Drosophila melanogaster: one gene and its partners. The gene in region 1 interacts genetically with each later gene. Each region holds a gene or a part of one and is shown on either strand. Other genes may lie near its edges.

The links.
Region 2: of Sxl (region 1) and hry, changing one suppresses a phenotype caused by changing the other (phenotypic suppression), as found in Drosophila melanogaster (one study listed by BioGRID).
Region 3: of Sxl (region 1) and tra, changing one suppresses a phenotype caused by changing the other (phenotypic suppression), as found in Drosophila melanogaster (3 studies listed by BioGRID).
Region 4: of Sxl (region 1) and ovo, changing one suppresses a phenotype caused by changing the other (phenotypic suppression), as found in Drosophila melanogaster (2 studies listed by BioGRID).

What each region holds. Positions count from the first base shown.
Region 1 is NC_004354.4:7,091,026-7,099,575, forward strand, and holds the start of Sxl (Sex lethal), read right to left. Parts: upstream 7,029-8,550; 5' UTR 6,976-7,028; exon of another isoform or gene 6,920-6,975; intron 6,744-6,919; exon of another isoform or gene 6,599-6,743; intron 6,042-6,598; exon of another isoform or gene 5,973-6,041; intron 5,911-5,972; exon of another isoform or gene 5,790-5,910; intron 3,460-5,789; exon of another isoform or gene 2,746-3,459; intron 1,859-2,745; exon of another isoform or gene 1,743-1,858; coding exon of another isoform or gene 1,672-1,742; intron 1,146-1,671; exon of another isoform or gene 1,098-1,145; 5' UTR 726-1,097; coding exon 649-725; intron 1-648. Other genes in the region: CG4615 (uncharacterized protein), read right to left, coding at 8,349-8,550. UniProt on the Drosophila melanogaster protein: Sex determination switch protein, which controls sexual development and dosage compensation in females. Sxl protein is only active in females: it is inactive in males throughout development.
Region 2 is NT_037436.4:8,672,451-8,682,265, forward strand, and holds hry (hairy), read left to right. Parts: upstream 1-3,308; 5' UTR 3,309-3,799; coding exon 3,800-3,898; intron 3,899-4,921; coding exon 4,922-5,017; intron 5,018-5,154; coding exon 5,155-5,973; 3' UTR 5,974-6,803; downstream 6,804-9,815. UniProt on the Drosophila melanogaster protein: Pair-rule protein that regulates embryonic segmentation and adult bristle patterning. Transcriptional repressor of genes that require a bHLH protein for their transcription (e.g. ftz).
Region 3 is NT_037436.4:16,589,559-16,592,999, reverse strand, and holds tra (transformer), read left to right. Parts: upstream 1-1,949; 5' UTR 1,950-1,956; coding exon 1,957-1,996; intron 1,997-2,069; coding exon of another isoform or gene 2,070-2,140; exon of another isoform or gene 2,141-2,244; coding exon 2,245-2,648; intron 2,649-2,705; coding exon 2,706-2,855; 3' UTR 2,856-2,941; downstream 2,942-3,441. Other genes in the region: spd-2 (spindle defective 2), read left to right, coding at 1-1,596; l(3)73Ah (lethal (3) 73Ah), read right to left, coding at 3,226-3,351. UniProt on the Drosophila melanogaster protein: Member of the regulatory pathway controlling female somatic sexual differentiation, regulated by Sxl. Activates dsx female-specific splicing by promoting the formation of a splicing enhancer complex which consists of tra, tra2 and sr proteins.
Region 4 is NC_004354.4:5,044,882-5,053,594, forward strand, and holds the start of ovo (ovo), read left to right. Parts: upstream 1-3,391; 5' UTR 3,392-4,249; coding exon 4,250-4,661; intron 4,662-8,713. UniProt on the Drosophila melanogaster protein: Transcriptional regulator with essential functions in the germline and soma. Plays an essential role in regulating the formation of apical cell extensions such as denticles and aristae, and initiating cytoskeletal remodeling during epidermal differentiation.

The DNA of each region.
Region 1 (8,550 bases):
TTATTGTTATCCATTCCTGTGGCTGTTCTTGTTGTTTTTCTTTCTGTCTCTGATAATATCAGAGCGCAAAAATAAAAAAGAAGAATCAAGTGAACTAAAAACCAAACAATGTGTATGTGTGTGAATGTAGAATGAATAGGGGGGAGAACATCACTCAATATGATTTCCTTGTTTTTTCTTTGCCAGTGACATCGACAGCAAATCGATAACAATCTCGAGATTTTATCGACTGTCAATCGACATCCTTCCCTGCACAAATACCAATGCACATATGCCGACAAGTTTTGCTAGTAAAAGAGATTTCGAACAAGCAAATAACTTGAACTTTCATAACCAATAAGTCTAAATCTAAACAAAATAATAACGTTGACTGCAACTATTTTCCAGCAACATGGAATTTTCTTCTTCGTACAAACTATTCAAAAAAAGGTTGGGTTGGTCTTTTGTTCGTTCGCCAAAGAGGTATGGGTAGCAAAAAAATTAGGTAAACACTGTATCATCTTAAAGTTTTGTGTGTTATATGTGTGGGAAGGAATGGGTGGAAAGGAAGAGGGGATTGGGGATTGTCATTCGAATGGGTATCAAGATCAAACATAAATGATGTGGATGTGGCTGACGAAACGTGAGAACTCAAGTTTAAAAATTTACCTCGACTTGTTGTTGTAGCCATATGGGGGATAACCACCATTATTATTGTTACTACCCGGATTATTGTTGCCGTACATATCCTGAGAGTTGGGAGTGTGTTTTTCGAATCAACAAAAGTTACACCCTCGATCGAAGGTGAGTTTCGGTTTTACAGGAAAAGGATGATGAGGTGAGTTGCAGTTGACTTGAGGTTAAGAACGATGATCGAGATTCAATCGATCTCTTCAATTGTTTTGGCGCTCAGCGCTCTCAGCTGGCCTGCTGCTGTCGTTGTTATTGTTTTCCTGTTACTTCTCTTCTGCCTCTGTTCAACTTTCTTGTGTTGTACTAAAATTGCTGTTGCTCTCTTTCTCTTTTTACATGTGTGCACGCTCACTGTGCTTTCCTCTCTTAAGTCCTATGGGGTTTTTTTTAAGTGTGTGCTTATTATAGCTGTTCTTGTAGGCGCGCTGTTGTAGTTGTTGTAGAAGTTGAAGAGTTAGTTGTTGTTGTTGGTACTAGGAGTTGATTGATCGATATAGTTTAGATTCAATTGAATTTCCCTTAGCTTGAGGAGGGGAGGGGGTGTAATGGTGGTTCTACATTTATACGATGACAATAAAAATATGACAAAGACGTGAATTGTGTGCTGCACGATTTAATGAACGAAATAAAATGATCAACCCACAGCTAAATAGAGAAGTTCCGTTAATCGTACCACGCATTGAGCTGAGTTTATGTGTGTGTGTGTGTGTGAGTGTTTAAAACTATAGTTGTCAGGCATTAAAAAAGAAAAGATTCTAGATATTGTTTCTAAGCAGATCCCGAAGAAATATATACACTAACACAGGTTATAACTTAAGAATACACTTAATAAATACTTAAATCCTTAACACTTTGTATACAGTCGCTTATCCAGGGTTGCCATACCATCATAAGTTATAGCAAACGATTTCTTAACACAAGTCACTAGTAAATAAGCTGCGCATTTATACAATATTTTGACCAGCAAACAAACAAGCGATTGGATAGAACTCAACATACCTCGCCATCTTAAAGTTATAGTAGGACGACATGGTCGAACAGGGAGTCACAGTATCAAAATTGAAATCCATAATGGGATAATCACAAAGTTACGTTTTTCAACAAATTGAATGTAAGACACACAAGAAATCACAAGATCTCTGAACACAAGTTGGACTTGTCACGAGTGGAACTCGACTGAAGATGTCCTGCGGGCCATCGATCTATTTAAGGATCGACAGAGGGGTGCCGAGCGAGTGGGCGGTGGCTGGGTGCCAGGTAGAAGATCGAAGGAGGCAAGGTGCGCGTGCCAGTCGCGTGGGCTACCTAAGATCCCGCGAATTGATCCCGCTAGGAAGTGTGCCAGGCGTACTTTCTTGGGTGGCCGGCTGCATTTCGCGGATCCCCGATTCCCGGATCGCGGATCTTCGCAGGCAGGCAGATGTTCCGCATTCTCGGAAGCTGGATGCCGGCAAGGTGATAGTTCTATTTTTTTGGGCCGGGTGGGTGGAAAACGCCGAAAGGTGGAACGTGGCAAGCTGCATGTTAATTACTTGGAAGCAAGCTGCATTTTGTATTGCTACCCGATTTAAATTCTGTGAACATCTTTTAGTTGTTAGGTAATAAGATTCTTAGAACGTATCAAACTACGACTCCAATAACTCCATGAGGGCATAACAATTAAAATTGGTTATTAAGATTCAATCTGAACTTGGGCAATTAAAACGTTATCCGTTTCTGAAGCAATACCAGCACAATACTATTTCCATATCTAATCTATTACTGTTAAATGTCTATTGCATTTGTATTACACTAATATAACACTAATTAAAATTTTAGGTGTTTTTGTACTCAAATTAAAAGTCTAATCAAGTAAGAGCAATTGATATTATCAAATATAAATCCTGAAAAGAGTCATATCGCTATTAACTCTAAATCCCCATTAACATAAACCCCGCCATAAATAACCCATTATAGATCCTATTTTCCTGCAGGCCAATTGCAGCTGCCTTTTTGCTAGGATTTCGGGTAGGGGCAGGTGAAAAAGCAGATTTACCTCCCCGCTTATAAAAACGCCGGGTGGAAAAAATCGAACTGCCCAAAATACAAAATACCAAGAACACAGATTGCAGGAAAATTCTTTGCCAATTTTTCAACAGAAACTTTAAGACAGTCAAGGTGTTTGGTTCACTCTAATCGCACGTTTGGTTCACTCTAATCGAACGCCAAGAACAGTAGTTCAATTCTCAAAAAAAAAGAATGCACAAAGTGATAATTTAGTATTGGTGTTAGTGTAAGATTGGTTTTAATTTTTTTAGTGTATATTTTATTATCATTATCGTTAATTGCAAATTAATTTGACCATTGTACGAGATAAGTATATTATTCTTGTAGGAAGAATGTTTATGAATTAACTTCCAATCTTATCAAGTACCATTTCCAGTGAGCCCTAAGCCCTAGCCATTATTTTTCCACAAGCAGGAAGCAAATCCATTGGATACTCGATACATGAGTATTTGTCCTACACTTTGGGATCCCCCAGCCAAAAATAAGAGCAAGAGCTGGGCTTCCTTCCAAGGAAGCGAATGAGGAACCAAAACTTTTGGCAAACAGAGAACAATCAAAATGGAAAATACGAAGCTGCGAAAAGAGATGCGAGCAGCGGAGAAGGGGGAAGAAGAGGAGCCAGAGAAAACGAGGGCAGCCAAACGAAGGCGCAAAGGGGGGCGGCGGCCAAGTGGGTGGGGCGGCCTAAATCGCATTGGGTCGCTCAGAAACACAAAAACCAGAATAAAAGCCGGCTGGAATGGGGTGGTACGGTCATCAAATTCGAGGGCTGCTCTTTTCCCATGTACACAATATACAGCAAATGCCGAAAAAAAAGAAAGAAGCCCAGGGGAAGGAAAATGAAAATATGTACAGAAATATATAAAACAGAGTGTGTACCTCGCTTTCCAGCGTGAAAACGGAAAATGCGGAAATAGAGAAACGAAAAGCGTCACAAGCTGTGAATACGGAAAAAGCAAAAAGGTGGGGGGAAAATACAAAAGGGTAACCAGAAGGTCGGTCATTCCGAAAATGGGAGAGCCCAGAAATGAAAGAAAATTCAAACATAAGTAATAGAGTACCAAAGACCCATAGACTTTCCATATGCAGATGGGTGAAAGCTAAATCACCATGAAATCAAAAACCAAAATAAAAGAAAGTCCATCACGGACAAAACTTTTGGGGAAAATGCATATCACAATGCGTGGTAATAATATATCCAATGTATCATATTAAAAAATTGAAAACAAATAGTTCAAAATTATTTCTAAATATTACGATAAAATGTTAATATATATGACTTTTTTAGCTGTTTAATAATTCAAAGCAGCAAATAATATTGCAATGATACACAACAGAAAAAAATATTACATAACAATAATAAAAAAAAAACAATGCAGGCTTTCATTGATTTCATTGACACCATTTAGCAGACATTTTTCGGCAGTGTACGAGGGAAAGAGATGGAGAAAGCGCCAGCGAATTGTAAAGCAATAACAAAATGCGAGAAAAACTTTACAGTTTGATAACAGTAGTCTGCTAATTTGGAGCACAGTTGTGTAAATAGAGCAGCACTATTATGCAGTGCTTGAGTGAATGTGTGTTCTAAACAGCTGATAAAAGCCCATTTAAGTACATGAGCTAATGTATACATATATACATATAGAAGATGCATGTACACATCTGTGCATCTAACAATCGCTCAGCTGGGAAAATGAGTCATGTACCCGCATGCATGAATGGATCTCGGTCTGGAAACAAAATCACAGCGGCATTGCCAGACACAATCAACGATCCATCGAACATTCCAGCTGATCGTCCGCTTGGATTGTTATTATACTGTTGTTATTTCAAGTGTATCCAAATGCGCATGTATGTACATATGTATGCATGTATGCTTTTTAAAACATTGAGCGAGCTTAAAAAGTACAGTGAACACTTGACATTGCGGAACCGAAACATATATACTTTCAAGGACGTATTCAACTTCATTTAACTCAGTATTATCTGCCATAAAAACATCGAAATAAGAACATTCAACGCTACAAAATATACTCTTAAATAACGACGCTAAGTAGTTGCATTATCTAGAGACCACTGTTGGGAAGCTTTTATTAACTGAAGACCAAATAAGGTTTAAAACGGGGTGCAACGCTCATGGGAATTGTGTAACGTGCAATTTGCGCAAGGGAATGACCTCAATGGAATGCAGAAATGTGAATTAAGAGTGTTGGTGGAGGTGGGGGTAGTACTAGCTACCGCCATTTCCAATATTTCCAATACGCTTTAAGCGAAGGGAACGATCGTTGCGATGCGACGTCATTGCCAACAGCAAGAAGGGGAATGACCCACCGAGAAGCGGAGATGAAGAGAAAAGGAAATAAATGCAGCTGCCCTCTCCTCACCACTCCACTCCTCTCCCACCAGCCAGCTGCAACTTGAAAAACAAAAAATACGGCAGCTGAGCGTACGATAGAGACAACAACGGAGGGCGAAGCGAACATCTTCCCTTGCGCTCACTACCTGCCTGGAAATATCCAGGATCCCTGATCTTCAATGGAAAAGGGAGGGCCATAAACCGAAAGGCGCGTGTCGCTAATGAGGATCTTTAAAATAATGTTTCGCCAACTAAAGCTATATAAACACTCAACGAAGAAATTACAATTATTTTAATTGCAGAAGCTCTGGGAAACTCCAAAATATGTCATATCTTAACCAGGGACACATGTGTAAGTGAAGTGTACGCCAAAACACGTTGCCTTCGATGATAACAGCTGGCAATGCCGTCGACGTAGGGCGGTCGCCACAGTCGACCACCAAAAAATAGGTACATATCTACTTATTAAAAGCAATCACAAAATACTCCAATTTATGCGCAGCAAGAAACACATGGTGGCATAGTTGGTGAAACAGGAAGTAATATGTATACAGGATATGCGTAAATGTAGGTAGTCGATTTGCAGCGGAACTAAAGGAAGTGAAAAAGGGACACGCGATAAACACTCAGGTAAAGCGAAATCTATTCCAGAATTTTCGGCCCTTCACAACTGGACGCGACTGTATGCATGTGTGTTGTTGTCTTTTTCGCCTACCTTTCGTTATATGTTCTTACTGCCCTTGGGTTTCTCTTGTTGTTTCTTTGCCCCAAAAAGCTGTTTGTATACGAACAAAACCACTTACCCAGCGGCTTAGTTATTATTATTTAGTTAGAGACTAAAATGGAAAAAAAGAATTAAGCACTCACACACACGCTGCTGTTTTTATGTACAACTTACTGTTTATGTGTATGTGCATATGATTTTTGGGCGATGCTTGCATGTTGCTATGTACTACACAACTGTAACGGAAACGAAAAAAAAAAGAAAAAACAAAGTGTAAGCCAGGCGCGTGAATCGCCTTGCAAGTGTGTGCGCGTGTGTTTATGCGTTTGCGGGCATATACACACTCGCACGCTCTCTCACGTAGGCGCAACACACACATATGTATATACATGCGAATGACGAAGCCGCAAGCACAGAAAAAAAAATTAGTACATGAAGTAACAACGAGTGGACGGGAGAGAGAGAGAGAAGGAGTGGGAGAGCGAGCAAAAACGGCTTTGCTTTTGCTTTGCTGTTGTTGGTAGTGGTGGGAAATGCTGAATGGAATTTTACAACATGTTTTCGGCTCGTCAATCGCTTTTGCACTCTTCTTTCAGCTCAATAACTTCACAAAAAACCGTATACAGCAAAAAATAAGAAACAAAAAACAGCGAGTATCTGTATACTGCTCTTTACTCGCTCTATTCAGATGTACATATGTATGTATTTGAGGCCAACAGCAAAAAAAATAACATGTATAACTTGAAAAAAGAAAAGAAAAACTCCAAAAATGCTTGGTTTTTTTGTAATTGTACTACTACAATTGCGATATGATCTATGCGCATTTTCACAATGTCTGCGTGTTTTCCACTATCGTTTCCTCTCCACTTTTCTCTTTTTGCGTGTTCTTTTAATTTCGCTTCGTTATATACACTTCACGTCACGCTAGAAACCCTGTGCATGTATGTATATATATATATCTATATGCATATATATGTACATGCTGCAGTGTCTGTGTGTGTATTGTTTTTTCGATGGGGATTTATTTCTTCTCACACACTTATTCTGTAGCTACACGGATTGCATGGGGCACACAAAACAGCTTCTTTGTCATGATTTTTAAAACGTTTTAACTTATTCACTTGGATCGTGTGTTTGATTTACGTGGCGAGTGTCAGGAGGAGCAAAGAAAAATTACCAGAAAAAAATTCACTGCGCGACTTTCCTTCTTCGGCAACAACAAAGCAGTGTGCACGTTTCGCGGTTGTCGGTCAATTTAAGCTATTTGGGTGGCTTTACGGTGGCTAAACGCGTTTTCGTTATTTTTCTAGGCACTCGGCTGGTCACACTGTTCATTTTCTACACCGCGTTAGTTAAGACTCACTCCATTTAGCGAATACACGAACCCATTTAGCCAAGTTTCACACCTTCGCTTGATTCGTAACGGTCACATAAAATTCAAATATGGGAATTCAAATCAAGCTTGAAATTTTCATTTAAAGAAAAGAAAATAACGAATTAAAATTAGATACAATTTTATGTCTTTTGAGCCCCGTTAGATTTCGTTCATTTAAATATTTAGAATTCTACACAAACAAAAAAAAATTTTCAATAAAATAATATATATATATTTGCAACCAAAAAAAGAATATATGTATATTCATATATTTAAAGCTAAACAAGATGTATGAATAAGCTAAACAAGATACATGCATAACATTGTAAAACGAACAATTATATTTGAGCACGCAACAAACATCTGAGCCCTTTGCTTTCATTTGGAAATATACAATTTATTAGAGCCATTAAAACTAATCGATCTGCACCATAAATACGAGTAGTACACGAAAGCTATATCCGCCGATCGCGAGCCAGGCCCCGAAAATATCAAGATATCAAGCGTATTTGTAAATAGTCACCTTCTTCAGTATCTGCGAACACATCGATTTGTCCCTGAGCTCGGCGATGAAACTGGCCGAAGGGGCTGGACTCGCGGATCGGATGGCCTCTTAATTCTATCTACTTGTGTATATGGGTATATATGGGTATATAATATATCTGTATAATCTGTATAAACATGCATAATGCAATGCGGGATAGGCGGGCTTCTAGTGTTCAAAAGGTTCAGGTCGTTAACTCTCGGATATTTGTACAAGTTTAATATTCGTGTCCTTTGCCTTTTGAGTACGGTTCAAAGTCTTTTGAGAAACACATGGCCAAAACGGGTCGTTATGGATACTAAATATATGAATATCGCTAATAATATCAAGTTAAAGTTGAGAGGGAGAGGGAGAGATGAGCACTCGCACAATTTGAATCTTTGGCAAGACCGCACATACTGATCACAAGAATCGTTTCGATTTAGTTAGTTCGTAATGCTACAACTAGACTACAAGCTAGGCGTCCTCGCTCGCTTAAAATTTGGCTAATTGTGGAGCAGAGACTCGGGTACATCGGGTATATCATAGGAATACGTTACACATGGCTGACAACATCGAATCCCTGTCGTTAAGTACTCTAAGTTCTAAATTCGCTGCATGTTACCACAACTGCTTTGTGGCGCTCGTTTGTTCACGGTGCTGCGGCTCCCTCGCTTGGATATAGATTCACCAGGATGGCGTAATAGTGACATCCGGCGGCCAGCACCACAAACAGATGCCAAATGGCATGGGCCATGGGTATCGTGCCGTCCGCCTTGAAGAATACAATGCCCAGAATGTAGAAGCCGCCGCCGAACTTGAGCTGCATCATACCGTGGAAGTGGTGGCCAGTG
Region 2 (9,815 bases), on another chromosome or scaffold:
TGGGCAAAATGCGTCGTTACGCTTAATGAGTAATAAAATACTTTGCACAATGTGGGGAACAAATGCGATTGCTAACTCCCACTCACTCTGATCCACCCACTCAGGTTTGCCAAAATTTACAGCGCCATTAGTTGCGAAAACAACAGCATCATACTCAGAGAAAATTAAGATCATTTCAGGCCCAATTTTAATGTTTTATTTAAGGGTCATTAGTATGTGAAAATTGTATTGTATATATTGTAGAATGATAATATAATCAGAAGCATTATATCACTGTTTTGTATTCATCAACCAAATTTATGCTGAAATCTTTAGAAAATTGTATGTAAAATTTTTGGGCAGTGCATTTGCAAACAGCGGATAGCTCAAATGTGGCGCGCGTTTTTAACAGCGTTGGCGATTTTTATGGCGTTTTAATCGCGAGAGTGGCGCGCGCGGCTAGAAATTTATTTTCGCCGCGGCCATGGAGCGTCCGCATGTTCTCTCTTTCTCTCCCTGTTTGCCCCACTCTCGGGCTTAACAGTTGCTCCCCTACCCCCACCAAGTACTGTTATTTTCAGTTACATGCTGCTGTTGCCGACCTACTAAGTTAAAAGCGGCGCGTGGGGGTTTCTGTCGCTGTTAAACTCGCAACGTTGCTGTTAAAAGAGCCCTACGATCAACAGTATACATAGTATAGTATATATAGTATAGTTTATGGATACTATATATAAATAATATCAACATAGTTAGTATCTAAGATAAGATTTTCTGTATATTTTAAACTTAATAGTCAAAACTATATGGTATTTTGAGTCTAGTGAATAACCATTTTGAATGATAATGGCACACAAATTGAATTCATTGATCTTATAAAATACAAGCAAATAATAATACCTATAATATTATACATATGCTATAATGTTATTATCAACGCCTTTACGATTATTAAATAGTTAACCAACATGGTCCAAAATGATTCGAAATACCTTCAAGGGGTTCTTTATCGTACCACCAACGTGTTTGTTTTGTTTTCAGTGATCAGGGCTCCCGGGGCTTATGGGGAATCTGGGGGATCTGGCGCTGTCTAATTTTAGACGCAATTAGCAATGCGCACATTTTTGTGTGCTTGCGCCTTTTCGACTATAAATTTTTGCCACAGTTTATTTTAGAAGCTGCATGTGATCGGGTCCGCCAACAACAACAATGGGGCGTCAAATTGGGCGTTCAACGCACAAACAACTGCGAGTGTATCTGTATCTGTGACTGTATCTTTAGCGTTGTATCCGTGAGATACATCCACACCTTTGGCTGTTTTTGGCCAGCTAGCATGATGTAAAACGCCGCCAACGTTTTCCGACCTCTCGTTTTTTTTTCTTTTTTGTTTATTTTCTTTTTTGCTTTTCGTTGCAATTAAATTGGCATGCACAAGTGCCGCCTCTGCCGCCGACAACGCCTCTGCCGACGCTGACCGCGGGCGGGCCGCCTTTTGATCGGCTGCCAAATTGTAATTGGAACGCGAAGGTGTTGTCGACGTCCGCCACTACCGTCTATATATATATGTATCCATATTGTTGGGGCATGTGTTCTCGGCATAACAACCTTCTCTGGCGACCACAAAACGCACAACACTTTAGACAACCGTCAAAAATGTCAGAAATTCCCCAAACTTTTTGAGTATTTTCACGAATCGATAGATATGCATATTTGTAAGACGTGATTGTTGATTAAGTTCAATTTCATTTAATTATTAAGCAGAAATTAAGTGTAGTAAAATCAAATTAACTTCTAAACGTTTTTTTACTCATCTTCATTAGAGTCAACTTTATTAGTTTCTATAAAAACACTGCCAGGTGGTTTCGCTATAAAAAAAATATTGTAAACACCCGTTTTTAGCCAACTTGAATGTTTAAAGCCTGACTGACTCATTCCAATGTAACTTTGTTGACGATTCGTGGTTTTGGTATAACTTCACTAATCAGTGGTCAGAGTCCAAGTCAGGCTTTAAAAATATTTCCCAAGAACAAACGTCAAAGATAACGTAATTTCCTTTTATAGATCGTGTAACCTAAATATGTGTCATCTACCTTTACTGAGCTCAGCCTGGTTAAACTAATTACATGGTTATTACCATTTCTTAAAACTTAACCCATATTTTGTAAATAATAGATGGCTTAAGCAGTTATTTAAAATATCACTTTCGGTTGTAACGAAATGTGTGTGACGCACTTTGGCTTTTTACTACCAAATAAACAATATAATTTAAGCTTCATTTTCACTGTAATATTCCCAGTTTTCACTGCAATGCCCCTCTTCTCATTCTGCTAATGAATGGTTAGTTTTCTGATGCCCGACTATTCCGCGTGTCGCGTAATTATAGTCAACCTTCGATAAATCATTACTCCAAAACAAAACAACAAATAATATATGAAAAACGTGAAAATCCAACGCTGCACGTAGAAGCCATCAAGCTGAATCTAAGCGTCCGGCGGAGCACGTGTGATCCACGCAGCCTTGTCCACAGCGATTTCCATTTCATTTAGCCCGTTGGCGGCTATCGATCAAAAGCCAAAAGGGCGACCTTCACTTAATTGAGGCGTACGGCATGCTGAATGAGTCGGTTGTACAGACTGGTCTGGAAAATGCTAGGGGGATAACTATAGCCACCACCCACTGCCCGATCGCCCAACCACCCAACCACCCAACCACCCACTTCCGCCTAGCGTGCGCACAACCTTGTGATCTTGTTTACTGTTTAGCGACCCCCGAGCCGCAGATACACAGTACACAGCACAAAAAACCGAACCTGTCGCACTGGGGTGGCGTCATATAGCCAGCTATTTTCACCTTCTATGGGACGTCGTCGCGTTGGCCGCATGAATCAGCAAACCACGAACGGCGAGCCACCAGAAACCACCGCAGAAGCAGCAACAACACCAACACCACCGCGACCATCACCAACAGCACAGCCAGAAACACAGCCTCTTGTGAATCCCTCAGTTAGCAGAGCCCAGCAGAGTCAAGCCAAACCGATCGCTGATCGACCGACCGACCGACGATCACCAATGGGGGTTTCGCAGTGTGATTTCCAAAAAGGAAGAAATGCCCATTCCCGCGAGCCACGGGGGCGTATGAGTAACGCGGTGTGTACTTTAGGTACCGCTCACAAGCGTGAGCACGCACACACACACACACACACTGAAGCGAGCAGGTAGCGCATAATGTATACCCCTAGGTAGCCGCAATGCCAGTGCAATTGTATTGGTGCGGTCGTGTGGCTCGCGCTCGCGTCTCGCAGCGGCGATTTAGCCTACGAACCTGTCGATCAATCGTCAGTCTTCCGCCGAGAGCCCAGCGATAAGGTAGTCCCGCTACGCTCCGCAACATCCAGACGCAGTAAAGCAAATACTTATATATATATATACATACATATATATAGCGCAACCATCCGAAAGCCGAACGATCGATCTTCTGCTTCGTGCCGAGTCGTTTCGGTCTTTTAATCGCACTGCAGCCAGAACCTGCTGCTCATTCGCCTGCCGTATTTCGTAGCGTGCGGTTCTATCGCTCCGCTTTGATAAACCGAATCGAAATCTAGAGAACCCCCCCAGACACAATACCATTTTACGTGCTTCTCTGCGACGCTGCGCGAAAGTGAAACCACCAAGTGAACTTGAAAAAAAAAAAAACTGACAACTTGAGTTATTCTAAAAAAAGCAAAAAAGCAGTGAACTTATATTGCAAAGAGCAGCAAATTCAGATTTGCTGCCAAGTGAAAACCAAACTGTGCCTCAAACTCAACAAACAATATCTGACCGAAATGGTTACCGGCGTAACAGCAGCCAACATGACCAACGTTCTGGGCACCGCCGTTGTGCCGGCCCAGCTCAAGGAGACGCCGCTCAAAAGTGACCGTCGGGTAAGTTTCTTTCGAGAAAAATAAGACTCGAAAAAAAAAATCCAAAGCCAAAAACAAAAAACCCCGTCAATGGATTAAATCAGAACCTCTAGTTCCCCGAAATCTGTGGATTAACTGAAGCGAACCAAACCGAGAATTCCCCTAATTGAGAGCCACCCACTTCGAGCTCAAGTTGATTTCCATTCGCGACTGTGGGCGACTGGCCCCATCAATCCCGCTGCCCAAATGCATTTCCTTTTTAGCCATCTCCCACATGGCTGGCTGGGAATAAAAATACGAAAAAAGAAAAACACTCTGAGCCAGACCAAAAAAAGGCCGCAACTGCCGTCGGCGCGCCAACACAAAGCGAATTTATCTCGCGTCGCGTTGGTGGCATTTACTATATGGCATATGGCATACTACTCCGACTACACACACGCTCCATCCATTCATGAGTGCCGCCCAAAATTGGCTGGCGTAGCTGCCCACCAGCTCCCCAGATTCGGACTCGGATTCGGATTTGGCTGCCACTTGGCGCGTGCGTCGCGTGGTGGCTGCAATTGTCGGTCATCAGCCGCCGTTTTTGGCCATTCGAACGGCACCGGTTCAATGAGTTGGCCAGAAAAAAAAAAACTGACTTCATGCGAGTCCAAATTTGGCAACTTGTGCTCCCTAGATAATAATGTACCTAGTTATGGCATCTTCGAATTTCCCGCTCTGACCTTGTCACATTCTCTTTATTTTTGCTCATACCTGGTTGGTTTATTTATAGCCACTGCCTGTAATTTATAACCGCCAAACTATTTTTAAATAAATGCCTCGGCCGAGTGGCGCTATAAATAGAGCACGCGCCGTGCGACTAAATTTGGCCGCCAGCCAGTCAATCCGCTCCCCAACCTACGCCGCCTCCTCCTTGATCTCCTCCAATCCAATTGAAGACCCATGCAGCTTCCTCTATTTTTGGGTCGTTGCATGAGGTCAAATTAGCCGTGCAAAAGCCGTGACTAATCGATGTTTTTTTTTTCCATTTCTTGCCTCTTGCAGTCGAACAAGCCCATCATGGAGAAACGCCGACGTGCCCGTATTAACAACTGTCTCAATGAACTCAAGACTCTGATTCTGGATGCCACCAAAAAAGACGTAAGTATCTGACAAAAATATAAGTTTAAAGCCACAAATAAAATAAAAAAAACTACATATTTGAAATTATCTCAAATATTTTTTAAAAGTTTAAATCATTGACTAATTTCCAAATTATTTTCTCTCTCTACTTTTAGCCGGCTCGCCACTCCAAATTGGAAAAGGCCGACATTCTGGAGAAGACAGTAAAGCATCTGCAGGAGCTGCAGCGCCAGCAGGCAGCCATGCAGCAGGCCGCCGATCCCAAGATTGTGAACAAATTCAAGGCCGGATTCGCCGACTGTGTGAACGAGGTTAGCCGCTTTCCCGGCATCGAGCCCGCCCAGCGTCGTCGCCTGCTACAGCACCTGAGCAACTGCATCAATGGCGTTAAGACAGAGCTGCACCAGCAGCAGCGCCAGCAGCAACAGCAGTCCATCCACGCCCAGATGCTGCCCTCGCCGCCCAGCTCGCCGGAGCAGGATAGCCAGCAGGGAGCAGCGGCACCCTACCTCTTTGGTATCCAGCAGACGGCCAGCGGTTACTTTCTGCCCAATGGCATGCAGGTGATCCCCACCAAGCTGCCCAACGGTAGCATTGCCCTCGTGTTGCCCCAGAGCCTGCCCCAGCAGCAGCAGCAACAGTTGCTGCAGCACCAACAGCAGCAGCAGCAACTCGCCGTCGCAGCAGCAGCAGCGGCCGCAGCAGCAGCACAACAGCAACCCATGTTGGTCAGCATGCCCCAGCGTACAGCCAGCACCGGATCCGCCAGCTCGCACTCCTCCGCCGGATACGAGTCGGCGCCCGGAAGCAGCAGCAGCTGTAGCTACGCCCCGCCCAGTCCGGCCAACTCTAGCTACGAGCCCATGGACATCAAGCCATCGGTCATCCAGCGCGTGCCAATGGAGCAGCAGCCCCTGTCGCTGGTGATCAAGAAGCAGATCAAGGAGGAGGAGCAGCCCTGGCGGCCCTGGTAGAGGGTGTCTGCATATGCATATCATATAGCATAGCCACCCCTATCGAATCTCCCGCTTTTAAGACTGACCCCCCACAACTCATCCAACTCGCACACATGCGCAGGCGTTGTGCGCATGCGCGTAGACATTTCACATCATTCGCCGGGATTGCGCAAATGTTGCTTTGAAGTGTTGCAAACATGCGAATCCTAAACTCGGTTCACAACTTCGTTGGCTTAGTTTCCTGGCTTATATCCTGGAAACCCGTCGACGAGGCTAAGGACCTTCATCAGACGCACCCACACACAAACACACACACGCAAACGTTGTTATAATTTATTTATTATTATATTATGTAATCGATTTGAGAGAACGGTATTCTACCAGGACATCGCCAAACTACCTCAGTCCAAGTACTTGGTGTTGAATTGCCTCATGTATCATGTATTACTCTTTGAATAACAGCAAATCAGCAAAAGTCTTCCAAACACAGAAAATGAAAATGCGAAAATAAGCACCTGAAAAGCTGAAATACTTTTTATGAAAAAGATAAACGCAAAAGCATAACTCTTACACATAGTCGTACATCTCCATTTAAGTATAGGTTTTGTACCATAGCCAGCTAAGCCGCTTAGGGTTTCTCTCGCTCTTAAGTCTAATCAAAGAATAATTATATTTATAAAACACACAAATCTATTCGTAAGGCCACGTGATATAGTGAACATAATGAGCTTCTAAGAAAACAAAACAAGAATTTGATGCAAGCAAAAGCAAAAAAATCAACAAGAAAGAAAAAACAAACAAACAACACACTAAAAAGAAATAAATTTAAAAGATTCTACTAAAAAATCAAATACGCAAAACGGATTTGTTATTGTGGTTGGGGTATCTTTTCCTGGGTTTTTTTTTCATTCGGGTGAAAGTCCCATTATGGTTCTTTTTTTTGTTTTAGAGGTCAAACGCTTTGAGTGACAGGAAACTTATCGAGCCCCCCGACTTATCGTAGCAAATTTCGACGCTAATTATTATAATGCCAATGGTGAAATTCATTTTGCTGGAGAGGATCGGCGGGGATTTCGACGATAATACAACTACGTTTTAAGGGGCTCGATTATGTCCGTTTCTGCTAATATAATCGGCACGACGAGTTGAAGGTTTTTCTGTGGCCAGACCGTAACGGATATAGATATATGTGCATCATAAACATTATATAGGAATGCCTTGATTTTCACACATCCGTTCGATAGGCCAGTAATTCGAAACAGTTGTGACGAAATAAATACTTATTATAATCCTTTGATCGATAATATTTTAAAATATTTTGCAATTTAATCATTGGTTATTCCAATCGAAGTGATCAGCAAAAGTTAAGGCGCACAAGGGTATATTTTAAAATCAAGGCAGGTTAGCTCTGATTGCAATAAATCCGAAATTCCATTAGCTAACGATTCAGCAAAATACCGAATTTCTTAGGGATATGGAATGTCAAGAAGTTGGCCACTATAGCCGCAGGAAAGTCGATCCGGTTCGCGTTAGTTGGAACTAAATCGGATATCGCCATGGATCATGGATGACCGATAGCTACGGATACATTTGGAAATTCCCTGGAACTAACCACTCGAATCCAGTGATATATACAAGTTTATCAACCATTAGGGAAATCTCTTACCCAGTAGCAACCGAGTCACGCCCTTCAATTCTCATAGTGCCCCCACTCTAATCTAAGCAAATCCCTGGGCCATTAATCGTCATGCTCGTGACAAAAGTTTCCGCGAAGTCTGCGGAAAAAATACCGCATCATGCTGATAATATGAGTGCGATAAAGCGGATAAGTGAATAAAATTGTTTTCCATTTGCTGGTGAATCAAGTGCAGAGAGCCACATTCACTTGCTCATCACGGCGTGCCTGCCACTCCCTTGCTGCAGTGCGTCTGTATCTGGGCCTAGTCTCGTTCGCCGTATGACTGGATCAGTATTCACTCGCTAACTATTCACAAAACTAACTCGTGCAGCCTCAAAGTCCAGGGGAAAATTCTCGTAAAAGCTAAGTAAAGATTGCACACAGTCGTTCAGATGTCGCATGTTCTGGAATCTAAGCAATACACTGGAAATACGCTTCGAGAAAAGTCCGATTGGGTGGTTTGGTGGTTGGGTGGTTGCATGACCAGGCTTTTGCCCCACTGAACCGAAAGTGCACTTGATTAGTCACTATGGGGGACGACCGACTTTCGGCCCATCAATGAGGATTACTCATCGTGGCTCGTCTAGCTCGAAATAGCATCGAAAATTTTGCCAGCATGTCTGCTAATTTACAAAGAAACCCCCTCTATTGACGCCCATTGAGTCATCATCGTTTGCCTTAATTGGCAAAAATCTGGTTTCTTTGGAGGACATATTTTTTAAATTAATCGTTCCCTAATGAAAATAGCCCCATTTGCCTTTGGCTTTTGGGGTTTTCAAAGTAGTTGTTTTAAATGTGTGAATAATGTGTATCAAGGGAGCCTGAATCAGAATGGGATGAACATATGTAGGTAGATTGCGGTTTCAGTAATGAAAATCTTCAGTTTTTAAAATCTTTGTACCTATATTATACCATTTCTTATACCATTTTAAACATTTTCAAGAAACGTTTTTTAAAAACCTTAAGTGCTCCCTATAATTCATGCACGCTACCTAATTTCCAGATCAGCACTCTGTGCAAATCGCGATTTGCATAGCTGCATTCCTTAGACGGCAGTCAGCATGTCGTCTGATTTTTGGTTCCGCTTGAAAGTCGGTGGTCCTTCAATTTGATCTGCTTGGCACCGCCATCAGCCCACAATACAAAACGAATTCGCCACAGTTGCGCACAAATGAAATCGAAATTAAAGAACTTCTGAGCACTGGGTACACTCAGTGCTGGGTTCTGAGTTCTTGTGGGTTTCACTTGCGTTGTGTTAAATGGGTGTAGGGAAGTCAGGGCAGTCAGGGCAGTCAGGGAACTCAGGGTCTGTTGCGACATTTGAGGCTATTCGCGACTGCGTGGAATGCCGCCAGTCGCCAGTTGTCACGTTTTGCTCTGGCAAATGACCCCAAAAATGAATGAAAAAACAAAGCTGTTTGTTTACGACGACTCGTGTAGCATTCCGTGGAATTGTGTGCGGCATGGAGCAGCTCACTTCGCATCGCATCATACCACACCACGCCACGCCACGCCACGCCACTCCACTCCACTTCACTTCATTCATGGTAATTGAAGATCGAGTCGTTGTCGTCGCAGATTTTTCGGCGAATTGCTGCCCTGATAATCCGGAGCTGGAATCGCAATTGGCATAGTAGGCTGCAGCTGGTGAATTCGGGGAGTACGCATAAACAAGTTGAATGACCCAAGAATTTCGCGACTCTAATGCCAATTCCGATTTCAAATCCACATACACTTCCACTACCTGCCCAATTGGCAATGTCAAATGCGAGCCAAGTTTAATGACTCGCCGACTTCTCTTGACACCCGCATTGACTTTGTTTGGATTATTGGTATATTTTTGGTGTTTCAAGCTTTGTTTACCATGGGCTTTTGAACCCGTTCTGCGAGTCTTGATTAGAGGCAGCGCATATGAAATGAGTGCGAGTCCCGCGAACGGGGATCTCGGAAATGTTAGGTGCTATTGAACTATGCGCGGCGGTTCAAGGAGATTGGACGCGACGAGATTCTAGCTGCTAACTGGGCCTAAACACAGTTACACAGACGGCAAGGTCGTTTCGTCTGGTTTTGGCTGGTTTTTTTTTTTTTTTTTTTTTTTTGGTTGTATTGCTTCTGGGCTAGCAGACGTGCTCAGCTTAGACAAGCGACGGAATCGAATTCGGTGGCTTTGACATTCAACTCG
Region 3 (3,441 bases), on another chromosome or scaffold:
CTGTCCTCGCCAAGAAGCTGTCTCTCGTCGCCGCTGCTGGACAGCACAACCAGTTCCGACCGCCGGCAGCTCATGAGTGGAGCAGCCCGCAAAGCAAACTCCTCGCCCGCAGGTAGTGAGGCCAGTTCCACCAGCGGATTCACAGCGAGTGGAAGACGTGGGTTGGGAACCAGCTCTGTTGCAGTGCCACGTAGTATTTCGCGCTGCTCGAACTCTAGTGAGTTCAGTCATCGCGATGGAAAACTGCTCCCCCTAAAGGTGACCCACACGACCCTCTGTTGGGGAAGCACAAAGCTGCGGACAGATGTGCGTAAGTCCATGCAGGTTAAGAACACAGCGGACAAACGGCTGGTCATTCGGCTTGGCATCCAGGGACCCGGATTCCAGCTGGTGGGCACCGACAGCAGCACGATCACACTCCAAGCCATGGAATGCCGCTCGGTAGTGATCAACTTTTGCCCCACTGTCTGTGGAGCGGCCATCGGAGCCTTGTCTTTCTATGCACCACCAGGAGCGCATAACAGCAACCAGCCGGGCCTAGAGATTCCGTTGTACGGCTACGGGGGCAGTGCGTCCATCACCATAAACGGTCTGCTAAAGGGACCGGTGGGCGCCAGTTTCCTTACCATCGGCGATGTATGCGAGCTGTCCGCTGGTCCGCTTTCGGCGAATCTCAAGTTTCACAACAAGGGCCCTCTCACCGCTTTCGTTGGTATATCAGTGGACTCCACCGTGCTCATGAAACTGCGCCTCAGCGAGGCCTTCGAGGTACGTCCGAGCCGCTTGATATTGCCGCCAAATAGCGAGCGCTGCGTGCAGATACTTTTCCGACCGAATCGTGAGGACTTGAAGAACATACTTAAGAAGACCGCACAGGTGTTGACCCTGGCCAATATGCGGATTTTCTGCGGAGACGAGCCCAACAGACAGCGTATGCGTAGCTTGGTCCAAAGGATGAGCAGCCGACAGCGAGAGAAACTCACATCGCCGATGCTGGACAGCATTTGGGGCGAATTTCCGGACGAGCAGCCAGTGCGCAACATCGGTCAGCTGAACGAACCGCCAGAGTTTATTCTGGACTTGGTCACAGTAGTGCGGATTATTGATGTTGCGCTTACCCTCAATCGGGACTTTGATGAATCGTCTGAGAGTTCCCTGATGTTCCTGCCGGAGGCCGACGAAACCGTGCTATTCCGCACCATATGTGTGGCCAATTCGCCGACGCCAACGCAGAGCCATCTATTGGAGCCAGTGGATGAGCTATTGGAGGCGGACACCACAACGTTGACGCCCGTCGAGCAAAACTGGTGTGTGCAGCCAGGTTTGCTGGAATTCGGAGTGGGCTGTTCGCCACTGGCCACTTTGTCCGTAACCAACAGCTTCTGCTCCAGGCAGCTCATCGAGGTCACATGCAATGTGCCCGATTTGGTGCGAATCAGTCCCAGTGAGTGCTACGTATCCCCGGATGGCGGCCACGCGGAGATCGATGTGCGCCTGCTCCGCTCACCCAGGCAGGATTTGCTCGAAAGGGAGCCGCTCATTGTGGTCTCCATGGAAAACGAGCGCATCAGTGTCCCGATTAGTTTTAAATTTTAAAATTTGTTTTATTTGTGCCTGCTAATTCTGCTTTCCCTATGTTTGTGTAGTTAGTTTAAACAAAAATTGTATTGTGTACTTGTGAAATGAAACCGTGTTTGCAGAGTATTTGTAAGGAAAACGCATAACCCTAAAGTTAAAATACTCGCTTGTTTCCTAAAAGTTGAATTTAGCTTAAATAAAAACTAATAAAGTATATGAGTTAATTTTAAATTTTGATATGTTGCTCTCGAATATTCAAAAAGTAACGTATATGTAGCGATAGTTCGTCGAAAAGTGAGTTGGCGGGCACATTGCAAGGTGCAAGCCGAGTACGGTCACACTGAGGAAAGTGCATCATTTAATTTCCAGCATTTTCCGATGAAAATGGATGCCGACAGCAGTGGAACCCAGCATCGAGGTACCCACTATATAGTATAACCGATCTGATCAGATTCTGATCCAGTGCCATCTTTTTGTTGTTTTTTTTCTAGTGTCATATTGTGTGAAATGTGAAATGGATGAGAATGAACGCTGGACGACCAGACAGAGAAAGAGAAGCTAGGACAATAGGACTCTCAACTGCGCATTACGTGGATTCCGTCTCCGACGATGCGCCAAACACTATGCGTTAGATGCATTGACTAACCGCACACTCTTTTCACATAGATTCCCGTGGCTCAAGGTCTCGATCCCGGCGAGAAAGAGAATACCATGGGCGATCAAGCGAGAGGGACAGCAGAAAGAAGGAGCACAAGATTCCGTACTTTGCAGACGAGGTTCGAGAACAGGATCGGTTGAGAAGATTGCGCCAAAGAGCGCACCAATCCACCAGACGCACTCGCTCCAGATCCAGATCACAGTCGTCCATCAGAGAGAGCAGGCACAGAAGGCATCGCCAGCGCTCTAGGAGCCGCAATCGCAACCGAAGTCGCAGCAGTGAACGAAAACGCCGTCAACATAGCCGAAGTCGCAGCAGTGAACGAAGACGCCGTCAACGGAGCCCGCATCGGTATAATCCTCCGCCAAAGATCATCAACTACTATGTGCAAGTGCCACCACAGGATTTCTACGTTAGTAGTTATTTGTATTGAAACAAATAACAAATCTAACTTAAATCGATTTTGCAGGGGATGTCTGGTATGCAGCAAAGTTTTGGATACCAAAGGCTACCACGTCCTCCGCCGTTTCCACCGGCCCCCTACAGATACCGCCAGCGACCGCCGTTCATTGGAGTTCCGCGATTTGGCTACAGAAACGCGGGGCGTCCCCCATATTGAACATACTCCATTCGACATAATTACAAATTTATTTACATTCGTGTGTTTTGTACATTAAAATAATAAATACATATATATTTCAAACTAAAAATGGAGAACATAAAATATTGCAAACGGAGAACGTTGATTAAATCATGAGCAAATGCAGCAAAGAAGGCGGCAAAAAAAGGGTCACACGAGTTAGGAAGTGGAAGTTACTTAATTCTAGGAGGGATAACCATATATTTACGACTTTATACATGCACATTTACACATACACTCATGGTTTCGAGGGGACTAACACTAGCGACTCTCCTAATTACGATATTTACGCATTGTCAATAAATTATAAAAATAGATCATTTGTTGTGGCATTATACTAAAACAGTGGTTAGAGCTCGACCCGCGGACGAAACTGCAGCCGAAGCGGCGGATCCCGGAAGCGCCAGCGCGTCACGTAGACGAACTTCAGCGTGTGATCCTTGCCGAGCAGCTCCTCGTTGCACAGTATGTCGATCTGAAAGATAAGATACGTAGTTATCATATAAGTATGTGCCATGTATACAAGTAACTAAGCCAGTCTGAGCTTTCACTGAGAGCAGTTACT
Region 4 (8,713 bases), 2.0 Mb from region 1:
TGTTGTTGTTGTTGCTGTTGTTGTTGTCAGGCGTGTGCGGTGCGCGTTGAATCCGCTATAACAGTGTTAGTACGTTAGTAGGTATACAAACAGGTAAAACAGGTATTCCCAGCCGCTCTGCCGTGCTCATCATCATGATCATCGCGATGATTACGTTCTTTTGCTGCTGCCGCTGCTGCTGCTTTTGCTCTTTTTACCACCACAATGGGCTGGCTGGCTGGCTATCTGCTTCTTGCTTCACTTGAAGCATTATTTTAGCGAGTCGCCGTCGATGACGACAATTGAGCAAATAAAGATAAGAACCAACAAAAAGTTGTAATAAAAAAAAAAACAAAAAAAAAAACAATAGAAAAAAGATCGCCAAACTATTTCCATACATTCCATTCAAGATTTTATTTGAATTATTTTTTTTTAAATAATCTAAACAATTGTTTCCTTTTTAAATTATGCAAAACCGACTTTTGCTTGGCAACGCACCTTTGGCTTTCCAAACTAATAAACACAAGACATTTTACCCATTTCTGCACTTTGATATATCAAAATAAATCAAAAATACACTACTGATCATTTTTTTCGAGTGTACAACACCATCGCACAATGGCAAGAACTACCAGCCAAGAAGGAGTGAATGAGATCGAACGATCCAAGCGCATTGAGGCCCAAAGGAACACATTCTTAAACACAGCAATTACCCAGCGAAATGGGCGACGGCGGGCAAAGAGGGGTGGGGGGGGGTGTCTCTCTGCCCGTGGAGCAGAAGATGCAGACACTAACAACGAGAAAATTCTGTTGGCTCCGTGGGCCCTCTTCTACGCCCATACCGCCCCCTTCTTGGAACGAACCCCACCCAACCTAAACAAGAACCCAACTACCAAAGCCAAAGTCAAGGCATTAACAGCCCAGTGAACACACTCACACACTTGCCATGTGCAATTCCACACTTACGTACATCGGTATAGATGTATACATATAGACAAGATATATATATATATATATGGATCTGGCAAGCAGTGTCGGTCGTGGTCTATACCTTTGGTGGCCTAGGTCTGGGCCAACAACAAAAACCAGCTCGATTCTCATTGGGTTCGCAATCAAGAACTTGAGATTCGCTTTTGGTTAGAGATCTCGATCCACTATCTGAACTTTGGGCTTATATTATAGTCGCTTCAATAACCATTTTAGAATAATAAAGCTTTAAACTAAACTAGTTGCATTTTAAATTTTCGCTGAGAGTTTTAACTTACTTTTTATCTGCAAGGGTTTCAATTAGATTCTGAAAATAAATCAAAGAAAATCAATTATTATTTCGTATAGAACTATTTGCAAAAAATATATAGACATAATACAAATTCTCGCTTTCAAGAACATTCTATGTACACAATGTACATATAATCAAATCTTTTAGTACAACCAAAATCTGTGCATATTTTCGTTCTGGACCAGAACACTTGCATTTTGGCCAACGAGCGGCTTTTTGAGTGAGAGTGAAGTTGGCGCAGGAACAATGCAGCAACAACAACGCAGGGGGGGGGGATGTTCTTCAGAAGGCTCCACCGACCGAGAAGAAGAAGAGCCAACGGAAAACCTCTACTAACGCCAACATCATGACATTAACATTGCCGCTGCCTCAACGGCAAAGTCACAGTCAAAGCCAAAGTTAGCAACAGGTTTTCTGTGCCTGCCACTTCGGCCTCAGATTCTCAGAGCCGCTCTTTCTCCAATTCTCTCGCGATACACATCGATGCACGGAAATAAAATGAGTTTCAGATAATTGAATTACAAATTCTACCGATTATTTTCAATCAGAGGCCAACATTTTAAAAATGTGTTATTTCTTAAAATTTTAACTTGATATGAAATTAAAAAAAAAAAGGATTAAGTTGATCCTCAGTTTTATGTTATTATTCTATTAAGTTTTGAAGGGGCAGCGCACTAATTTCTTATGGTGCACCTCTCTCACCTGCGAACGAGGCTTCGTTTTCAGTTTCGGACGTGAGTTCGTCTTCGTTTTTACCTTCGGCTCGTTGCTCTCTCTCTCTCTACCTCCGCACACCAGCTCAAAGTTAGCTGTAAATTTGTTACGTCGCCGCAAAAGAGCGTATGCGTGCGTGTATGTATATGAGTGTGTGTGCCACACAGGTGTGCGACGCTCTGAATTCGCCGTCGCTTACATCACTTGCTCTCCATGTGTGTGTGTGTGTCGGTGAAATAACGTTAGTTATCCGTTGGCAGCGCACCTGTGCGGGTTGAAAAGAGATGGAGCTAGGCCTTCTTATTTGCCATTCTAAGCGCATTCTAAGCGATCTTCTCTCACACATACAAACGCATGCGCACAAGGATTTAGGGGAAGGAGAGAGCTGGTGAAAGAGAGAGAGAGAGAATGAGACGCACACCTGAGAGCGAGAAATGCCTGCGTTGCCAACTATTTTGCCGTTTAATTTCGCTTATATGGGTACATTTTTCCATCTTACTTGCCGCTGTTGCTTCTTCTTATTTGGCTCGTTATTTCTTCTTATTGTATTTACCGCGGTTCTCTTTCCATCGTTGTACACAAACACACTCGCACAGATATAATAATGATGAAATTCTTCAAGGGCCACAATCATGCCTCCTTTTTTGGGGTTCTTTTTATCGAAAATCAAATGACTTAGGAAACAAACTAGCCAGAATATTTAATTATAATTAGGAGGATATTTAAAAACATTATTTGCAAACTATTTCATTTAAACAAATCGTTTTAATAATTGATATCTATTGATAGGCTTAAGAACATTTAAGAAAAATATCTATTTAAATTTAGCTTTAATTCAATTATTTTAAGATGTGCTGTAAATACAAAGTCCTTAGTTCGAAAGTACAGTACAAAATTAACAAAAAATGACCGGAACATAAATATTTATATTGAAATTTTTCTAAATTTTCTATTAATTTGCCAATCCAACCAAATTCTAAGTACCACAAGTACAGCTCGCGGTATCGGGTAAAAACGATCTCAGCCGGCAAATGGCCAAGGCGAAGATTCTTGATCATGAGCGTGATCATCATTATCATCACTACCTTGACTCTGAGGAGGGAAAGAGAGGGCGCGTCAGAGAGACAGAGAGAGAGCGCGAAACTGCATGAGAAACGTTATGTGAGCGAAATGAGGCAACGCACACAAAACACTCTCACTCTCTCTCACACAGGTGCGCTTGGTTCGCCGTTTCGCCGCTGTTTTTCTCACCTGAGCAACGGCGAATATCTCGTTATTTTCTGACTCATACGAAAGGGAAGTTTCGCTCTTTCTCTCTCTCTCGATTTACGGTGTTTTAAATTCGCCGTCTAACTGAGTTTGTTGTAGCGGCGAGATCGATCGGTTGACTTTGGTTTGGCCTAACTGACTACCTCGAATACAGTAAGTTGCGAGCCGGCGTTGTGAATGCACGTGTTTTCGCTTAACTCACCTGGGCGAATCCCAAAGACCAAAGCAAACCATTAAACTCACATAAAACAATACAATTTATAAAAACGAAAACACTGTGTTGTGCATCAATCAATATAGTAATATATTGAATTACATCCATACAAAACAGAAACAAAATTTTTTTTGAGTAATATTTTTTACAAGTGCGCTGAATAACACAAATAAATCAAGAACCCAACAAGTGTTTGAAAACCCAAAAAATAAATTGGGAAAAACAAAAATTTCTCATAACCGAATATTTTTTTTTTTTGAAAACTTGGGGGAAAAATCAACACTTTTTTCGACAAGTCACCGAAAACTTAAAAAAAAATTGATTTTTCAAAAAAAGAACCAAGACTCGACACTGCCGAAAAGGCAATATTTTTCAAGTACATTTTTTCGAAGTGTTTTGACAAAACAAAGCAAAATTCTCGAACCAAAGAACAAAATCACGAAAGGACACCCCAAAACAATCCCTCAATTATAATTGACTTGACTTTGACTTGCAAAGCCGAAGAACTTTCAAAAGACATGAAGAGGGCAAAACAGAAGTTAACTTGAGCTCGGCTCATGACCAAATCAAAACTGAAATCAAGCAATTTTTTTTTTTTCAACACAGTGGACGAGCGGCGAACAAACATACACACACAATTGGATTAGTGTTTTGTTTATTTCGGACCCACTGTAACTGTCCCTCGTCCACCTGAAAATACGAAGAAATTCGTCGCCTCCTTGAATTCGTCGCGTGTCGCCGTCGCGTTTCGTTAAATCGCTTATCGTTCATCGCAAATCAACCGATAATCCATCATGCCGAAGATTTTCCTGATCAAAAATCGCCTGCATCAGCAGCAACAGCGCTTGCTTGAATCGCAAAACTTGCTGCAGCACAAGAATCAGGATGATGAGCGCTTGGTGCCGCCCCTCAGTCCAAGTGGGAGTGGTAGCGGCCCCTCGCCAACGCCCACATCCCAACCACCACCGGAACCGCAAGGTCAGGGGCAACAGGTGCTCGGACAGGTGCCCGATTCAGATCAACAGCCACTGAGCCTCACGCGCAAACGATTCCACCATCGTCGTCACTACTTCGGACAATCGCGCCACAGTCTCGATCATCTCAATCAAAATCAGAGCCCGAATCCAAATGCAAATGCAAATCCCAATCAAATACAAAATCCTGCGGAATTGGAAGTCGAATGCGCCACTGGCCAAGTTCAAAATGGTAAGTTGAACTTTTCTAAAACAGAGTCTAAAAATCTTTTCGCTGCCTTATACATAAATACACCTTTAGGAGCGATTAAATTTCCGTTTGCCAAACCGTTGTCACATAAATGCGTTCTGTTACTTGTTTGGAATACTCGAAGCACAAAATATCAAAGAACAACGCAAAGAATTTTAATTTACTTGGATAAATAATTGCTACAAATCTGTCAGTCAGTTTTTTTTTTTTTTTTTGGCCGATGGCAAATCGGCTGGCAATACAATGCGCCATATCTATTGCCTGGAAATCTTTTCAAATTTCAAGCTTCACTTTTGGGCAGCTTTTGTTATTGCTTTTCGCCCACACCATAACGAACTCGTCCCCAGTGTATCTTTGTATCTTTGTATCTATATCTGCCCTGTCTATCTTCCATTCTCCAAAACGGAGCTATGGGTTTACTTCGACATCAATCACTTTCATTGAATTTCGTAAGCGTATTATTTCGTTTTATTTATTTTTTTTTTTTATTTTGCCAAAAAAGCCAAGCAGAGTTCTCATGTCTCTGTTCTGATCTCTGTTTTCTGTTTTCAGTTTTCTTTTTATTTTCTGTCTGTTTCTGTTATATAATCGCCCAGCATGCTTATTAAGTCATTTCGATTTAGGCGGTGGTCTTAGGTTAAAGGTTTAAAATTTTCATAAATGATTAGGCGAGAAGAACTTTCTTCGTTTTCGGGGCGAGTTTTATTAATTAAGTTCTTTTCGATTTTATTTGAAAGTGAATTTCGTTCAGCGTTCTTTTGGCGTTTTTTTTCGCTAAAGTCTTTTGTTTCTAAGCATTTTTTAACTGCCCTTTGTCTGGCCTTAATTATATCTATATTTTTATGCAACCATTATGGCTCGACTTCACTTCAAGAGTAGCTTCTCTCACACGCAGCCTCATAATTTTGCCCCTTACGCAGGCATTATATTTCATGGTTATAGCTTATATATATTATTTTCACGGAGCGCGTAGTTGAGTGCTATATACAACATTTATTAAATTAAATAACATGTTACGTTCTCGGTTCCTCCCGGTTTATCGCCAAGCCAACCAAGTTCCCTTCATCATCTCTATCGCCCATCCACTTAAAAATGTATTATGAACGCTTCCGCTGTATAATTTTTATGAGTTCTGCGGATATTGTAATGGAAGTTATTTGAAGGGAAATCGTTTCGCAACGTTATATTCTCAAAGAAAAAATTTTTAAATTGGATAGAATTACACAGAAGTTGGTGAGCTCATCGGATTCGCATAACTTCATAACTAACACTTTGAAGTTTTAAGTTCCAACTTTGATCAATCTATGCAGGATTTAATATTATTTAGGTCTTGCACTCTAAACATGTGTTCTCATGCTGCTCTGATTTCAAAGAACCCTCTGGTCACACTGCTTGTTCACTTTTTTTTTTTTTTGTTCAATTACCGCTCGCTGTTCGTGTTTTTCTTGGCTTTAGTGGGCTGTGCCCATGGCCAAGAACTTCACACACTTGAGCGCACACTCACACACTAGAGCGAAGCTAGAACGAACGAAAAAAAAAAAATTATATAACTACCAAAGTACAAGGTACTAAAAGCCAGATACAAGAAAAAATCTCCTCTCAACCACGCAAAAGTACAAGTTTTGCCAGAAGATGAAGAACCAAAGCCAAAGCAAAAAGAAACGGAAAAAGAAAAAGAAAAGAGTGCGGAGCAGAAAAAGAACTTCATTTTGTTTGGTTTTGCAGCCTAGACTTGAGCTAAAGTTCCAACTACACACAATGACTAAGAAGATCATCATGACGATCATGAGAGCCAAGTTCAGTTGAGGAGGTGGAGCAGGAGAAGGTGGTTTGGGGATGAGGACGTTGGGTGGGGTGCATTGTAGGTACGTCGTCTGCCATTTGGCCTAAGCAAAGTCAAGGCAACTGGCCATAATAAAACTTGTAGAACCAGTCGAATTGAAGACTGGGGAGAAGAAACTCACCAGAAGAGGCAGGAAAGGCAAAAGAACAGAGCTTGTGAAATGCTAAAGGGCCTTGGAGGATGAACATTGCTACAGGAGAAAAAGCAAAATGCGAACCAAGATGCTCGAGAAAAGCGAACCAAACCGAACCAAAACGAACCGAACTGAACTTCATGCATATATGGACAAGAATTCCTCCTAGTTTCTTCGCCCGCCACAGCTGGAAGTTATGAGCATAACTTCCTGTTACATTTTCCTCTATCTTCAGTCAGCGATCTTTATGCCGCGAATTTCTCTCGGGCCACTAGTAAAAGTTAATAAATAACCGAAAGGAAATTCATTGATCGACCGATCGGCGATAAGGAAATTTCCAAAAATAAAGGAGAGCGATCAATGCAAATTCTGCAGCTGTTAGAACTGCAAGTTCAATTGCACACACAGAGCTTACACGCAGATGTTGCAATCCTCGAGCGGAAGTTAGCGAAAGGTTCCCTTAAAGACCTCGCGACCCTTCTCCAGAGACAAGTTCAGCGAACCCTCTCCAAACAACACTCACCATCTCAAACAAAACCAAAAAAAAAAAAAAATAAACACAGACGACGACGAGTCAAAAGCAAAAGTCAAGTGGTAAATGAGGTAAATGGTAAGGTAAATGCAAAAAGAGAAAGACAAGGGGGCAGTAGTAACAGAAAACAAAACCCAAAACCCATTACTTCATAGTGCCAGTGCTGAGATTTTCTTCGGAAATCAAATCAATTCTATTGTTTATTCAATTAAGCGCTTGATCCCCCAGACGATTCGCTCTCCGATCTTCAACTAATTGAAATCTAGATGGGCATCTACACTTGATTGCGCATATGTAAATGGAATGAATATCAACTGATGAGAGCCTTTTCTGCATTGATTAATCAAGCCTCATATGGGTAACCCTTTTCATTATCAAAAACCATATAAGAATATCAAATGCTCTGCTTAAGAAGAAAAAAACCCAGTTTAGCTACATTTAAAATGATAACAACTAAATGATAATGGCAAAACAATTAACACACAAATTTATTTGAGTAAACATACTTTTCAAATTGCATACCTTGGAAGGTAGCTCAAGTTCGCAACCTTAGTAATTTTTAATTTTGAATCGAAAGACTCAGGCGGCAAACTTGATTTCTCCAATAGGCATTTAATATGAGTTCTTTTCGCCTCGTCTTTTTTCTTCCTCTTCCCTTGGTATACGTACATATATTTTTGGCATTAGTTTTACCTGCCGAAGGACTGATAAAACAATGCACACTATGTATATGTAGGTGTGTGCGTATGGAAGTGAAACGAACTACCTGTGCCAAGGGTTTGTTTTTTTTAATCTCCCAACCAAAAACGATATTTGACAATCGGAAAGAAAGAGAAAAGCGAAAAAGGGCAAACCAGAGAATCCTGCACACCTCGATAACATTCAAAGCCGAGATTTATTTGTGCAGTGAATCAACAAACAAGAATACCCAGCACAAAGGAAACGGCAGAGAGGAACACAGTATGAAAGAGAGAGAGAGAGAGAGAGAGACTGACAAAAAAAAACAGGTCTCAAGTGCTGCCAACCGAGAAGAAGAAGCAGCAGCAGCAGAATAAGAAGAAGAAGAGAGCAAAAAGAACGTAGAATATACATTTGAAAAAAAAGGAAGCGAGTTTTTTTTTTGTCCGCCTTAGCTGGGTGTTTTTCTTTTGCCTTTTTTTGGTATGCAGTTGAAGAAGAACAAGACGAAAAAGAAGGAGCAATGTTGAAGAGGAACAAAAGAACGAAGAAAGAACGAAAGGCAGCTATAAATATATATATATATATACATATATTCGTGATCATGAGCAATGATCAGCGCAATGATGATGATAATGATGGTGCGTGTATTTTCTTTGTCATTGTCCCCGTCTCCCTCTACACCATACACCCATCTCCCTTTGTTCTTCTGGCATGAAAATGCATTATTTTTCCGTGGGCTGCAACTACTTCTAATTGAATTACCTTTTGATATGGATACGCAATGATAAGATCAATAGAAGCAGTCGACGAGAAGAAGAGGGAAGAAATATGGAAAAAAAAAAACA